Linked DNA regions of Elephas maximus indicus. The protein of the gene in region 2 binds, or shares a complex with, the protein of the main gene of each other region. Links are inferred from orthologs where the notes say so. Each region holds a gene or a part of one and is shown on either strand. Other genes may lie near its edges.

Region 1 (7,460 bases), on a different chromosome or scaffold from region 2:
TGGCACATTTTGGTCTTTTGATATCAGCCTCCTTTTATTTAGCTCGTTGCCCACCTTTTCTTCCCTTGTTGCAATCTTTAGTATTTTATTCTTCCTAAAACCATTTAGTGTACAGCTTGGGACTTTTACCAAAGAATCCAGAAGTTTGACTTCTGCACAGTTCGTCTGCTATTAAAGCAAAAGTTACAATTACTTTCCCACTTCTGGGGATGGTGTAATCAATTAGAAAAGGTTATAAGAAGATGGTTTTGCCCAGGCTACTGTTCTAAGCCGATGAAGTTGGAAAGCTCTTTTGTTTCTCTAGAGTTACATTTTCAGAGTAGTAATTTTGTTACTTTAATTGAGAGGTTTTGAAGTCCTAGTATATTAAGTGTAAGTTCAAGCGTGCCTTGAGTTGAAATCCAGAGATGTAGAACGGCAGTGGTGCAGGGGTTCTAGGGTGGCCTGAGAGAGTTAGCTGTCTGAAGGCCACGTCTGCCCGACAGCTTGGTAGAAGTGGCAAAGCCCATGGACATTCAGTGCGCCTTTCTGTGACACTTTTACCCATCTCTCCTGCCACACGTGCCATTGCGGTTTAACAGCCAGTTTTCAGGAGAGCTCCAGCCTGTCCACTGAAAGTGATGAGAGTTAATGGGAAGTTTCCCCATTTTGGTCTAAGATTTCTTACCGTTACCCTGTGAGAAATCAACAGGACATTTACTCTGACTTTAATGATCAGTTAAGGAAGTGACCTGACCTCAGATCTCTTTATTAGGTAATAGAGGCACGTGGTTCAAAAATCAAAACAATGTAAGAAGGTATACATTGAAAAGTCTTGCTCCTACCCATCCCCATTGACCCCATTTCCCCTGCCCCCATACCAAAAAACCAAACCGTTGCCATCGAGTCAGTTCCAACTCGTAATGACCCCCCGTAGGTAATCAAAATATATTCTAATTTCTCCACACAGAGAAGATTTAACATACTATGTATACTATACCTTGCCTTTTTTTTTTTTTTTTTTAAGTAATATATCCTAGAGATCTTGCCTCTCAGTATATAGAAAATTTCTTCTATGGAAATTGATGTCATATTTTACAAATGCAAGCTTCAGATGTTTCCAGTCTTGTTATTCAAACAAAGCTACAATGCTACAGTGAATAATTGTACACCTCTTTTCCTTACTGCTAATTGTGCTTTTCATATTAAAATTGTGTATTTTTCAAAATTGCTTTCTCACACACCCAATCTTAGAGGCCACTGCTTTTCCTTCTAGATTCAGATGGTCAACTCATTCATTTCTTCCATTCATCATCTGTGGAACTGAGACATCCTGGAATTATTTTCAATGCCTTCCACTTTGTGATAACTATCTAATTATCCCGAGATAGTAGTTAATCTGGTGGATATTGATAAACAAGATTTTGTTTTTAAAAGTGAAGAGGAGGGTACGTGAAGGACAGTTGCCTGAGGAGGATGGGTTAGGTTTTTGTTTTTAGGCATTCATTTTTATATAGTCATGGGATAAACCACAAGTGTTCTCTGCCCTCCTAATTATGGCAATTTTTTACTTTATCAGGTTTCATAATGATTTCCAGAATGGTACAGCTACAACAAGAGCTTCTAAATTGACACCATATTTTGTATTAAGAAGCTTATTATTATTTGATGTGACGCCTGTCCCTAACAGCATCAAATTGTATTCATAATTCCCCCAGAGAACAGCACTGCTGTTCTGCAGTGTGGCTCTTGCCCATTTACAGGCCATAAGAAGTAATTTTTTGGCCACTGTGGACTTCTGGGTGTACTTCATTCTTAGTTTACTTGTCTGTAGCAGCTTCCTGCAAATATATGGACAGAGATCTTGAAGATACCTGGTGACACTTGGTTTTCTTTGTTGCCTGAAGTCTTTATGGTGGTTGTTTCTATTGTGTAATGGTTCTCGTGAACTGGGGCTCACCTAATGTCATGATGTATAAAAACAGTTTTTGAGGGAAATCCCATGCCACAGCAGACCTGTTTATCCGAAATGTCTTTAATAATACCATTTAGTGCTCCATATGCCAGTCACTAGATACAGTGCTTTGTGCACTGATACCTCCATGATAATCACCAACAAGAGTAGGAAGTGAGGTCAAGCACTTTGGCCCTTGCACAGCAGTATGAGGGGTGTCTTGTGTCCTAAAACAAAGTCTACTTATACATGTTTTGTGTGCCGGTGAGTCGATTCCGACTCATAGCAGCCCTATAGGACAGAGTATAACTGCCCCATAGGGTTTCCAAGGCTGTAATAGTTATGGAAACAGACTGCCTCATCTTTATCCCAGGGAGAAACTGCCGATCGTTCCATTAGCAGCAGAGCAATTAACCACTGCACCACTAGGGTTCCTACTCATGCGTGCATAGCTGTCTTGTCCCACAAACATCCCCAAGCAGAAACCAGGGTTAGGGAGTAGTCCAAAGAAAGTTTAGGTTACTGGGTTTTAGATGAGGCTTCCAGAGGCTGGTGTTTTGAAACCATCTTCTCTAGTATTTCTCAACTGCTGTGTTGTGATGCATCAGTTACTTCACCACATTGTCACAAGGAGTTTGACTTCCCTCCAAACATTAACTTGATGGGATCTGTTCCAGTGGGGGCTTTGGGTAATGGGGACTTGACTCTAGGTTTTTGGAAGACAGCCCCATTCCCTTCCGTACTGTTGAGTTAGTAGTGGATCAACAACCCCTGGGAGAGAAGGAACCATCGAATTCCTGGAGAATGGCTTTACTGACCTCAAATTTTGTGCATTTTCGTTGTACTGCTCTTCCTCCCACCCCTCTATTCCTGCCAAATATCTGCATATGCTCTGGCAATAGTACGCAATTTTACCTAGAGAGATGTTTCTTATAAATTTTGGACACTTTCCCAGTCACTTGGAGTTTATCTCTTTCCCAACTGCAGACAATCGCTCTCATGCAGCTTAAGTCATTTATTGATGTCTCAGCTAAAATTGGTACCGCTTCAGGACATTTCAGCCATCGAGGTCTTTCCAGGTCTTAAGGAGTCCTTTCTCTACCAGAGGAACTGTGCTACTTTCTTCTGTCCGCCAATCTGACCTACCTAACCACCCTCCTTTTTCTTTAGCTCTTCCACTTTGGAAATATAGATCCTCATGGCATCCAACTTGGTCATCCCTTTGTTCTCGTTCCATGCCTCCCATTTGGCCTTGGCTTTCACATCTGTGGAGGGTGGGGCAGGGATGTTGCAGTCGCCCTGGGTGGCCTGTTTGTAGAAGCTGTATACCAAGAGTTTCTCTTGATCACTCACAGGACCCTTCAGCTCCTTGACAGCAGCACAAGCTAGCTCAAACTCCACTTGGCCCATTGGTGTAAGTAAGGCCGGGCCCCTCTGTCCTTTCTAGGTGGTATCTGGCGCTAGGAAATTCAGAGGGTAGAGAGAAACAACTTGAGGCTGATGATTAGCTCAAAGAAGAAGAGAGGGGAAAAGGGAGCCGGGGCGTGTGTGGGGAGAACACAGGATATTTCCATGTGTTTTCTCAGTGAAAAATCAAATGTGTGCCTTTATGAAGTACAGATTGCAAACTGGTGGCATGTTGGGTTGGATCCGCCCCACGTTTGTTTTTTTGTTTTGTTTTGGCTTGCACAGTCATTTTGCGGGGAGGACTACGCTTCCAATTTAGGCATCCGGACCTAAAATTGGAAACCCTGGTGGTGCAGTGGTTAAGAGCGAGGCTGCTGACCAAAAGGTCAGCAGTTCAAATCCACCAGGCCCTGCTTGGAAATCGTTATGGCGCAGTTCTCCTCTGCCCTATAGGGTCGCTATGAGTCGGAATCGACTCGACGGCAACGGGTTTGGTTTTGACGGGAGGCGGTGTGGGATGAGAAGCGCTGGGGGCCTATGTGTGTTTCTGAGACAGACGGGGAGACCTGCTCTGGGGCAGGAAGCCCCTCAGTGTGTTGTGTCTGTTTATGCGGGTTAGTGGGCAGCCTGCGGAGGGGCATTCCGTTTGGGTGAACTGTGTGTGGGGGTGAGTGTGGGGCCAGGGACGGGGCTAATGGGTAGGCCGACTGGTATTCAGGAAGCTGATCTGGGAATGGTACTGGGCGGATGGGTGGCTGAGTAGAGCCTTGAAAGGGAGCGCGGCCGGGGTTGGAGCCAAGGCCGGGGCGGGGACTAGAGAGCGGGAGGGCCGGGGCGGGGCACGCAGCCGCGGGAGGGAGGTGCAGGTACCTGCTGGTTGGCTGGCGGGAGGGCTCTGGCCGATAGGGGGCGCTGCGGGCTCGGCGCCGCGGGCTAGTTGGTAGGAGCTGCGCGTGCGCGCTGAGCGGCGGAGCGGGGCCGCGGTCCCGGAGGGAGCGAGTGTTGAGGCTGTGGGCGGGGACTGAGGCGCGGCCCATTGTACCTCCCCCTGCCCCGCCCATTGTGGCGTGGCGCCTGCGCCGCACTCGCCGCCTCTGAGGGGGAGGGGCGGCCCCACGCCGCCGGCAGCGCCGCCGCCATGGACCTAGGTGGGTGTCGCGGTCCCCGAGTCCCGGGCCAGCCCGGACCACGTCCCGCAACGGGGAACTAGAGCGGTTCTGCCCGGCCCTCCCACTCCCGCTGCGCACGCTCGGGAGGGCCCCGGCCAAAAAGCACCTCCCGGTCGGGCAGAGGTTTTGGCGGGCGGGGATGTCCTTGGAAACCCAGGATCCAGAGGCCGGGCTCTAGCCCCTGGCTGGCTGTTACTTGACCGCCTCTTGCCCTCTCCCGGCCCCTTTCCGGGTGAAAAGCCAGGCGGATGTGGAGTTAGGTTTTCTGAAAGTGGGAAGGGTTAGTGCACGTGGTTTGGAAAAGGCTGGCTCGGAGGCCCCGGGGAACTCAGGGGTGCCTTGAACTGGCACATTTATTGAACTAAGTTCTTGGGCAAGTTTCTTACCCTCATCAGGTTTCCTCATCGATGAAAATGGGGGCGATGATAATGTATCTACTTCATAGAGCTTTTGAGAGTTTTGAGTTCACGTGTATACAGACAGGGTCGGGTACAGCGCCTACCGCACAGCAAGCCCGTCGAATTTGTGGCGGTTGTTGGAGTGGTTGGAAACCCTGGTGGCTTAGTGGTTACGTTCTACGGCTGCCAACCAAAAGGTTGGTAGTTCAGATCCACCAGGTTCTTCTTGGAAACTCTATAGGGCAGTTCTACTCTCCTATAGCGTCGCTAGGAGTCAGAATCGACTCGATGGTAATAGGTTTGGTTTTGGGGTTTGGTGGGAATGATTGCAGCTGAGATGGTGCCTTTGAACCTGCGGGCATCTTGATTCAGAGTCCTCTTAGGCATGGTTGGAAAAACGGAGGGAGAAGTGTATATAAATTGCTCCCCCGTTCTGAAGCCTCCCACCTCGCTGGCTATGCTGTTAAGGGGGTGATACCCTAGTCAGCTATAGAGAAATGTCCTGGGCCCTGTCCCCTCAGCCCTCCAGTGGTAGAATGGCAGCGCTTGAAGGGTTTGGAGCCCTGCAGCTGTGGTGGTTTCTGTCCGAGTCCCACCACTTTGTAGTTGTGACACTCTGAGCATATTAAGTGTTCCTGGGCCTCAGTGTTCCCGTGTCTAAAACAGGAATCATGGTCCCCAGAAAGTTGTTTTGAAGATTAAAAGATCTATAGGGGCACTATGAGTCGGAATTGACTCGATGTCAGTGGTTGTTTTTTTTTTTTTTTTGGTATGTGTGCTTGGCACAGTGCCTGACATAGAGTAAGCAGTTAATAAACGGTGCGTACCCCCAAGTACCAGCTAGTCATAAAGCACTTGGAAGTTACCCAGCTATTAACTGCTTGGGGGCTTATTACTTCAAGTAGCACATGTACATACTGTTGTCTCTGGAAGGCAGGAGTGTTGGGAGCCAGACATCAGCTCTAAGTAAATTCAAAGAGCAATGAAATTAAATTTACAGAATCTTTGGGACCCTGGCGGAACATCCTGAGCCTTGGTTTCAGGGCTCCCCCCTGGTCAGACAGCTACCAAAGTCACATTTCAGTGCTGACTTTCTTCTTGAGCCTTAGACCTGCGTTTCCTGTTGCTGGAGGACACCTCTATCTTAACGTTTTACCTCAGACTTCAAATAACCAAAACCAAACTTGTCTTCTCCTCTGTTACCTGTTTCTAATGGTGCTCCTTGGCCTCCCAGTTCCCAGGCTAGAGAACCTGTGAGTCATTTTTTATTCCTCAGCTAAGTCTCACTCCAGCTCTGCAGTGGCTTTTGTAACTATCCCTCCTCTCCCCTTCTCACTGATCTCATCTAAAACCTTGTCCTCTCTAACCCTGATAGTGACAGCCAGCCTAAGTGCTGTCTCTCCCTCTAACTTCTGCTTACTTATTTAAAAATTTTCACCACTTTCTTTGGCTTCTTTCCACGCAGGCCCCTTGAACATCTGTGAAGAAATGACTATTCTGCATGGGGGCTTCTTGCTGGCCGAGCAGCTTTTCCGCCCCAAAGCACTGGCAGAATTGACCAAGTCTGACTGGGAACATGTTGGGCAGCCCATTGTGGAGGCCCTGAAAGAGATCTCGGCCACAGCGTGCTCCCAGCCCTTTGCCTGGAAGAAGAAAGCTCTGATCATTATCTGGGCCAAGGTTCTTCAGCCCTACCCTGCCACCCCTTCTGACACTGAAACCCGGTGGCAGGAGGATGTGTTTTTCTCAGTAGGCAACATGCTCCCCACTATCAATCACACAATCCTTTTTGAGCTGCTCAAGTCCCTGGAAGCTTCTGGACTCTTTATCCAGCTCCTGATGGCCCTGCCCACCACCATCTGCCGCGTAGAGCTAGAGCGCTTTTTGGAACACATGACTGTTAACACTTCTTCAAAGGATGTGGCCTTCTTCCTAGACATCTGGTGGGAAATGATGAAGCACAAGGGCAATCAGCAGGACCCTCTGCTCTCGCAGTTTAGGACAATGGCCCATAAGTATTTGTCTTCTTCAGATGACTTCTGCCATCCTCCAAAGAGGTTCAAGTCAGACCCAGATGTGTGTCCCACCATGCCCCTGTTGGCCATGCTGCTCAACGGGCTGAAGCAAATCCAGAATAAAATCCTGTGTCCTGGAATGAAGTGCTGCGCATTGGCCAACTTGGCCGACATGCTGACGGTGTTTGCCCTTGTGGAGGAGGACCCCCAGGAAGTGTCTGCCACCGTGTATCTGGACAAACTGGCAACCGTCATTTCCGTGTGGAATTCAGACACCCAGAAGCCATACCACCAACAGGCGCTGACAGAGAAGGTAAAGGAGGCAGAGCGGGATGTCAGCCTGAACTCGCTGGCCAGGCTCCCAACTGAGACGCTGTTTGTTGGGTTTGAGTACATGCTCAGCCTGCTGCGGGAGTGGGGAGAAGAGCTGCAGGCCATGCTCAACAGCAGCCAGGGGACAAGCTACGATAGCTACCGGCTGTGTGACAGTCTGACTTCCTTCAGCCAGAACTTGAAGCTCTACCTGGATACCACAACC
Region 2 (7,292 bases):
AGTTACTTCTAGTAACTTTACTAACTCGAATTCTGGCATTAAAAAAAAAAAAATTCTGGCATACACACATAAAATTATAGTACAAGCTTCCATTCCCACAAAACAGGCCTCTGCTTCTAAGTGATCTATTTCACTGTATTTGTTGTATTGGTCACAATTAGGAGTATAATTTTACAAATGTCAGACCACATGAAAGTAGATGTACTGATTTTTGGTACAGAAGTAAATCATATTTAATGTATAATTCATTTCTAATTTATTCTAGATTTTCTTTTCAAAAATTATTTCTTAAACATGCTATGAAAGTATAAAGTCATTCACTTTTATGGGAAAATAAGCTTTCTTAGACATTATTCTTTATCATTTTGAAGTATATTTTCACTTCTGATTCATTAGCTCTCAATTTGTAGTTTGATTAACTCAATTATTCTGAAATATCATATTGGCAAAATTTGTTTTGCCTTCTATCAGTGGTTCTCTTTTAAAACAATCTATGAGCTTTGGAATTTGGTGCATTTAATTTAGTTGTGCACTACAAAATAATCATGATCAGCCAAATAAATTTCTCCCCTGACTGAGTTTTCAGTTTTTTCTAAGAAATAGTAAAGAATTTGGGTTTTTGCAAATGATGATCAATGAGAAGCCTAGCATTGAACTGAACTGATGGAGGAATGTAGGTCACAATTGAAATATAGAAATACAAGTTTTGGGTTCAGAAGGGGCCTGGGACTAGCAAGAGATAGTTTCTCAGACAACTATAAGAAAATATTCAACTTAAAGGAAGAAGTGTTTGGTAATCCAAAGAAAATGTTAGCTGGGTCTCTCTTAGTTCAAAAATAACTGAAAACCACCTCGAACTAATATAGAGGAAAAAAAGAAATTTATTGCTACTGTAAGTACAAACTGCAGGGGAACCGCTGACCTCAGGACATCCTGAAACCTGAGGTTCAGGTGATGTCAACAGGACAATGTCTCTCCAACTCTCAGCTCTTCTTTCATCTGTACTGGCTTCATTCTCAACCAAGCTCTCCCAACAACATGGCAAAGACTATGTTGAGCTCACAGCAAACTGATTCCAGTAAAGAGAGAGGTCCTTATGCCTGTGAGCTCCAGAGAAAGTCCTAGGGGAGAGCTGTGATTGGTTCAGCTTTTGCCATGTGCCCATGCTAGAAACAAACACTGTGCTTAGATATACAGAACTTAGATGGTTATCTAAATGGTGAAGGGTTTTTTTTCACAACATGTACACCAAGATTTGCAAGCTTCTGCCCTAAGCTCTGTTCCTAAATTCAAAACAGTAAACGTACTTTCTTGGACTTGTTTGGAGCCCTGGCGGTGCAGTGGTTAAGAGCTTGGCTGCTAACCAAAAGGCAAGCAGTGCTCCTTGGAAACCCTATGAGGCAGTTCTACTCTGTCCTATAGGGTCGCTGAGTCAGAATCAGCTCGAAGGCAACAGGTCTTATGCATGTGATTTTTGTTGTTGTTTTTTCAGGCGGGGGGCTTGTTTAAATTGTCCATTTTCCTTGCTGGCTCAGAATTGCCGATTGTACTTTTCTGGACTCGCTTATCGTTAATTAGGGCATCTACTTCTAAAAACTGGTAATGCAATAGTTGTCTTGCCCCACATACCACATTCTCATTTCCTTGTTTCTTGTGACTAATCTAAATGCCTGTAACATATGTAAAACCTCTGCTAATTTCCAGAAGACAGGGCAGTCTCATTTTCAAACTGACCATCCTGCTAGCAGCAAATAAAGGCTTTATCTTTGTTGCTCCACTTTTGTGAATTTTATTTCAGTACTCTTTTGACAGTTTTGTACTTATAAGAGTAAAAATTCTAACATTTCAAGCTAGAAAACAAAAACAAAAAGTATAGCAATTTACAGGAAACTTATGGGGCAATGGGTTTATGTTAATGAAGAAGAACAATTCAGAAAATGAGGGCAAAAATGGTTGTGCAACTTGAAGAATGTAATCAGTGTCACTGAATTGTACACGTAGAAATTGTTGAATTGGTGTGTGCACAGATGTGTATGTTCTCAACAACAAAAAATAAAATAAATTAAAAAATTATAGCAATTTGGTATAAACCAACTGACAATGCCATTTCAATTTGCCCTCCTCTGGAAGCCCCACCACTATTAGATACAAGAAATAATTCCCCACTTACTTGACAGGAGATGAGTAGGTATTAGCCAGATCAAAAAAAATGCATGTACAAAATCTGGAGAGGAAAATGAGCTTGATGAGTTCCAATAACTCAAATATTCTAATGCTATTGAGAGGAAATGGATTAAGAGGTAGTCAAAGCCCAAATTAGGAAGCGCTTGAGGACAATACCAGTAAGTACCCAGGGAGAAAGGTGTAGCAGTCTGCTACCATAAAGATTTCAGCCTTGGAAATTCCATGGGGAAGTTCTACTCTGTCCTGCAGGGTCGCTATGAGTCAGAATCACCTCGACAACAACTGGTTTGGTTTGGTTTGGCTCAGCACTAGGGATGCTGCAATCAACAACACACACAAGGTCTCTTCTTGGAGGAGCATACATTCTAATGGAAAAGACAAGCCATTATTTCACAAATATTGATTGAGGGCACATTATGTGCAAGGCACTATTCTAAGTGCTAAGGATGCTACAGTGAACAGAACAAATACAAATGCCCTTTCACAGTTGACACTCTTGTGTCAGACAGTAAATAAGTTATCAAATAAATGCTAAGAAGGAAACAAATATGGTAATAAATAGAGCAGCAGTGTCCAACAAAACTTTCTGCAATGAAAGAAATGCTCCATATCTTTTTTGTCCAAAAGAGTAGCCACAGCCACATATAGCTATTGAACACTTGAAATGTGGCTATTGCAACTGAAGAGCTGAATTTTTAATCTAACTTCATTTTAATTTAAATTCCACACTCAGGCACAGCTTGATCCAGCAGCTCATTACTATCACCATGGGTTTTTGTCTGTTTATTAACTCTCCGTCCTGAGACTCTTTATTCTCATAGTACTAAGGCAAGTCCCAACACAACAACCGAACGAAAACTTTCATTTTAAAATTTTCCCCAATGAGTCCTATGAACATTAAAGTTTGATGAATATTGTTGCGTCATAACATCCTAGAATTCTGGTGATCAGGGATTAAGTTCATGCTGGAGATACAAATTAAAGCCATGGTTTGGAGGAGATTACCTACCTACAGGAGAAAGTATTCATACAAAGATTACCGTTTAGGGTACGTTGAGAAAGGAGTGTTTCAAAAGGAAGTGCTTATGTTGAACACTGATGAGATGCTGAGTACCACAAAGATAGAAAAGTTTGTCTTGGAGGTTTCTGATCCCCTTTGAAAAGCAACGTCAGTGAAGTAGTTTGCAAAGTGACCTAGAAGTGATGAAACAAGTAGAGATAGCTCATTCAAGAAGTTTTCCTGTTAAAAAATGGGGCAGTAGCTAGGGCTGAAGCAGAGAGAACTTGGCTTTGTTTTTAAGGTAAATTTGAATGCTGATGGGAAAAAAATCAGTAAAATAGGAGAAAGAGTAGAGTTAGAGAGAAATAACTGAAGGAACGAAATTCTTGAGAAATTGAGAGATGGGATCCAAACTACTAAGAAAAGGAGTTTGTCTTTGAAAGGAGCGACATTACTTTTAGCCTTGTAAAAGGAGAGAAGGCAAAAGGATGGCATCTGTTTTCTGAACGTGTGAAATATTAGTAGAAAGATTTGGTAGTGAGACTGTAGAAAGTTTGAGGGGGACAGAAGGTATGAAAGAGTTGGTGAGCTTACTAGAAAAGAGTAACAGTCTTTCTGGGCAATGTAAGGTGCCCATCTGAGGTTTATGATCAGAACTTAAATGCAAATAATAAGTTAAATTGGGAGATTTTCTTCAGGTAGGTTAGGCAATGGTGAGGTAGGTTCTGGGTGCTCTGTCGATCTAGAGTTAGAATAATCTTTTGGGCTTCTCTTAGAACTTCCCTTTATTCGGGGGGATATTCGGAGGGGTGTAATGCACGGTGCCTTGCCGCGAGAAAACGTGATGGCGACAGGCCTCCGAACTGGATTTGATCTCCCCAAATTTTCCTCTTGCTGGAAATTTCCTCCCAGACCAGCCCTAGCCGCCCTCAGCAGTCGCAAGGCACACCTCCAGGCACCAGGGGGTGCAGTCGTGCTCCTCACGGCCGGAAGAGAGCCGGATCAGCTCAACCTCTACGTTTCCGCCGTGCGTTCGCAGGGCTCCGCGCGCTCTTTACGTCCGGAGCCCCGGGAGTAGGAGTTTCCGGCCATTCATACCCCCGTTCGGTCGGGACTCTGTTCTCTGGTCTTGTGCGCTATCGGGCCGAAAGAGTGACGGCGCCGCTAGGATGAAGCTCGTGAGGTGAGAAGGCTACGAAGCGGCGTGCGGGTTGTGAAGGGAGGGTTTGGGCCGGAGTTGGGAGACTGGCTTCCCCAGCTGCAGGAGGCGCGAAAGCCGCGTGCGCGCGCGCGGCCTGGTAACGGCCTCCGGCGCCAGCCGCTCCCGTCCGGGTCTTGGCCGCGCGGGCGGTGCTGCGGGCCGGGCTTCAGACTGGGTCGCGAGGGATCGATCTGCTCTTCCAAAAGGTGGACGCAAAGGCGGGGACGTTTCTTCCCACTTAATGTCTTAAAGTCTTTCACGGTGCTTTCCCGGGTTTACGAGCTCTTTCGCCTAGTTACCGATACCGATTTTCTTTTCGAGGGGGAACTCGTGCTCTAGTCTAGGTTACTTTTCTGGCCCGTCTCAACTCCTGAGAACAGGCTACTATGAGTAGGTCCATGTGCCCTAAGGAGGCGGGAGCCATCGAGAAAAATTGTATGCCTTCCGTGAGAAGTTCTTTAAATGAATGCGTTTTTCGTGATCAAATTGTTATCGTCGGTTTAAATGAGTACTTAGAAGCAGCATGGCTTTATCTGGAAATATTGAAGTGTACTTCTAAAATATTTTAAATATATATATGTGTAGCTTTTTTGATATAGCTTAAGATATTGTTCAACCTACATTTTCTATAAGGTAGACTTTTAGGAAAATCTCCCAATATTCGTATTTGTGGCTAATTACACAGATAATAAGTTTTACTTCCATTTTTTCTCTTCTTTGACTTTATACTTTGTCCGTTAGCTGTGCCTACTGAAGACTTGTTTACCGGTTTGAGTACTTCATTCCATACTACCTGTAAATACATATGGTTTGGCTATTTTTCCTTTTAACTGATCTCGAAACAAAGGGGTAGAGGCTTCTACTAAGTGAGCGGTTATATTTAGTTAGTTTTTTTGTTGTTGTTCTGTTGAGTCAAGGATTGTTAATGTCAACGAAATTCTTACTATTGTTCACCTGTTATTCTGTGCGCTGGTAATAGAACCATTAAAAAAAAAAAAAAAACATCTCCACCTTGTTGGAGTGGTAAAGACAGACAAGTAGATACTTTCTGCTATGCATGAAATAATATAAAATTCTCAGTGTTTCTGTAGATCGCATGCATGGTTAATTTGTAGTCCATATTTATATGGAATGTAGCTTTGGAGAAAAACGGCTCAAATTTAAAGAATATTTTTGCAATTTCTGAATACCTTCCAGTCTATATCTATTTACAGTTAGGTTTTATGTAATATTCTTTGGATTCAGTTTGTCCTGTTTAAAGGCATTTCGTGTTGCGACAGAATTTTCTTGTAATTTTTAATGGCTGTAGTGAAACCAGAAGGTCAGTGGTTCAAACCCACCAGCCGCTCTGTTGGAGAAAGATGTGGCAGTCTGTTTCTGTACAGATTTATAGCCTTAGAAACCCTGTGGGGCAGTTTTACGGTGTCCTATAGGGTCACTATGAATCAAAATCAACTCAACAGTAGCGGATGATGTTAATGTACTGAAACCCATTCTGTGACTTCGGTAGAATATAGAAACAAAATTTCTTGCTGGAAAATGTGTTTTGCCTGGAGGAAATGATGTTTCACTGACTAGCTTGTGTTTTCATTTGGCTTTAATCCTGTGCCTAAGTCGGTGACACTATCGTTCATATCCTTACAGTCACTCTAACCAAAAACCTGGGAGTCTTGTCCCTGACTTCTTCCTCTCCCTGATAATCCTTACGTTTGAGAAATCACTAGATTTTGCCAATTATTCTTCACAGAAGTATCTCTACTGTCCAATTCTGTTTGGTTTTTGAGTTCAGATAGTGTGAGTTTGGATACTGAAGGAAACCATGTTATCTGGATCTCCTTGATTCTAAATTATGAATAGTAAGTAGAAAGATTTCAGGTAGTGAAATTTTCATCAGAAAATAATTTGAATTTATTTGACTCCTGGGCTCTGATAGAAAGGAATAACTCTCTATTTGCCCTCTCCACAATACCTTCTCTTTCATTCCAATCACCACAACTGAAGTGCAGGCTCTTTTTTTCTCCCCATAGACTCTCTTTTTTTTCCTCCTTCTGAGGTATATATTTCATACAATGACAGGAAAGAAAGAAAAGACCAAGATGGATGTCAGAGAACCCTCTGAAACTTACGAACATTGAGCAGCTAAAGTAAAAGGAAGAATTGATGAAGCAAAAGAACTGAACAGAAGATTTCAAAGCGTGACTCGAGAAGACAAAGTATTATAATGACATGTGCGAAGAGCTGGAGATAGAAAACCAAAAGGGAAGAACACGCTTGGTGTTTCTCAAGCTGAAAGAACTGAGGTAAAAATTCAAACCTCGAGTTGCAATAGTGAAGGATTCTATGGGAAGAATATTAAACGACGCAGGAGGCATCAAAAGAAGATGGAAGGAATATACAGAGTTATACCAAAAAGAATTAGTCGACGTTCAACCATTTCAAGAGGCAGCGTATGATCAGGAACTGATGGTACTGAAGGAAGAAGTCCAGGCTGCTCTGAAGGCATTGGCGAAAAACAAGGCTCCAGGAATTGACGGAATATCAGTTGAGATGTTTCAAGAAATGGATGCAGTGCTGGAGGTGCTCGCTCGTCTATGCCAAGAAACATGGAAGACAGCTTCCTGGCCAGCTAACTGGAAGAGATCCATATTTATGCCTATTCCCAAGAAAGGTGACCTAACTGAATGTGGAAATTACATAACAATATCATCAGTATCACATGCAAGCAATATTTTACAGAAGATCATTCAAAAACGGTGCAACACTATGTCGACAGGGAACTGCCAGACATTCAGAAGAGGACGTGGAACCAGGGATATTATTGCTGATGTCAGATGGATCCTGGCTGAAAGCAGAGATACCAGAAGGATGTTTACCTGTGTTTTATTGACTGTGCAAAGGCATTCGACT

The links. Proteins that work in one complex are often made in the same cells at the same time.
Region 1: SNRPD1 (region 2) and GEMIN4 share a complex: the UniProt entries of both Homo sapiens proteins name them as parts of the SMN-Sm complex. The link is inferred for Elephas maximus indicus from reciprocal best matches to the Homo sapiens genes SNRPD1 and GEMIN4.

The regions. Positions count from the first base shown.
Region 1 is NC_064837.1:20,925,911-20,933,370, reverse strand, and holds the start of GEMIN4 (gem-associated protein 4), read left to right. Parts: upstream 1-4,425; 5' UTR 4,426-4,478; coding exon 4,479-4,488; intron 4,489-6,372; coding exon 6,373-7,460. Other genes in the region: diazepam-binding inhibitor-like 5, read right to left, coding at 3,080-3,343. UniProt on the Homo sapiens protein: The SMN complex catalyzes the assembly of small nuclear ribonucleoproteins (snRNPs), the building blocks of the spliceosome, and thereby plays an important role in the splicing of cellular pre-mRNAs.
Region 2 is NC_064829.1:27,456,442-27,463,733, forward strand, and holds the start of SNRPD1 (small nuclear ribonucleoprotein Sm D1), read left to right. Parts: upstream 1-4,209; 5' UTR 4,210-4,353; coding exon 4,354-4,367; intron 4,368-7,292. UniProt on the Homo sapiens protein: Plays a role in pre-mRNA splicing as a core component of the spliceosomal U1, U2, U4 and U5 small nuclear ribonucleoproteins (snRNPs), the building blocks of the spliceosome.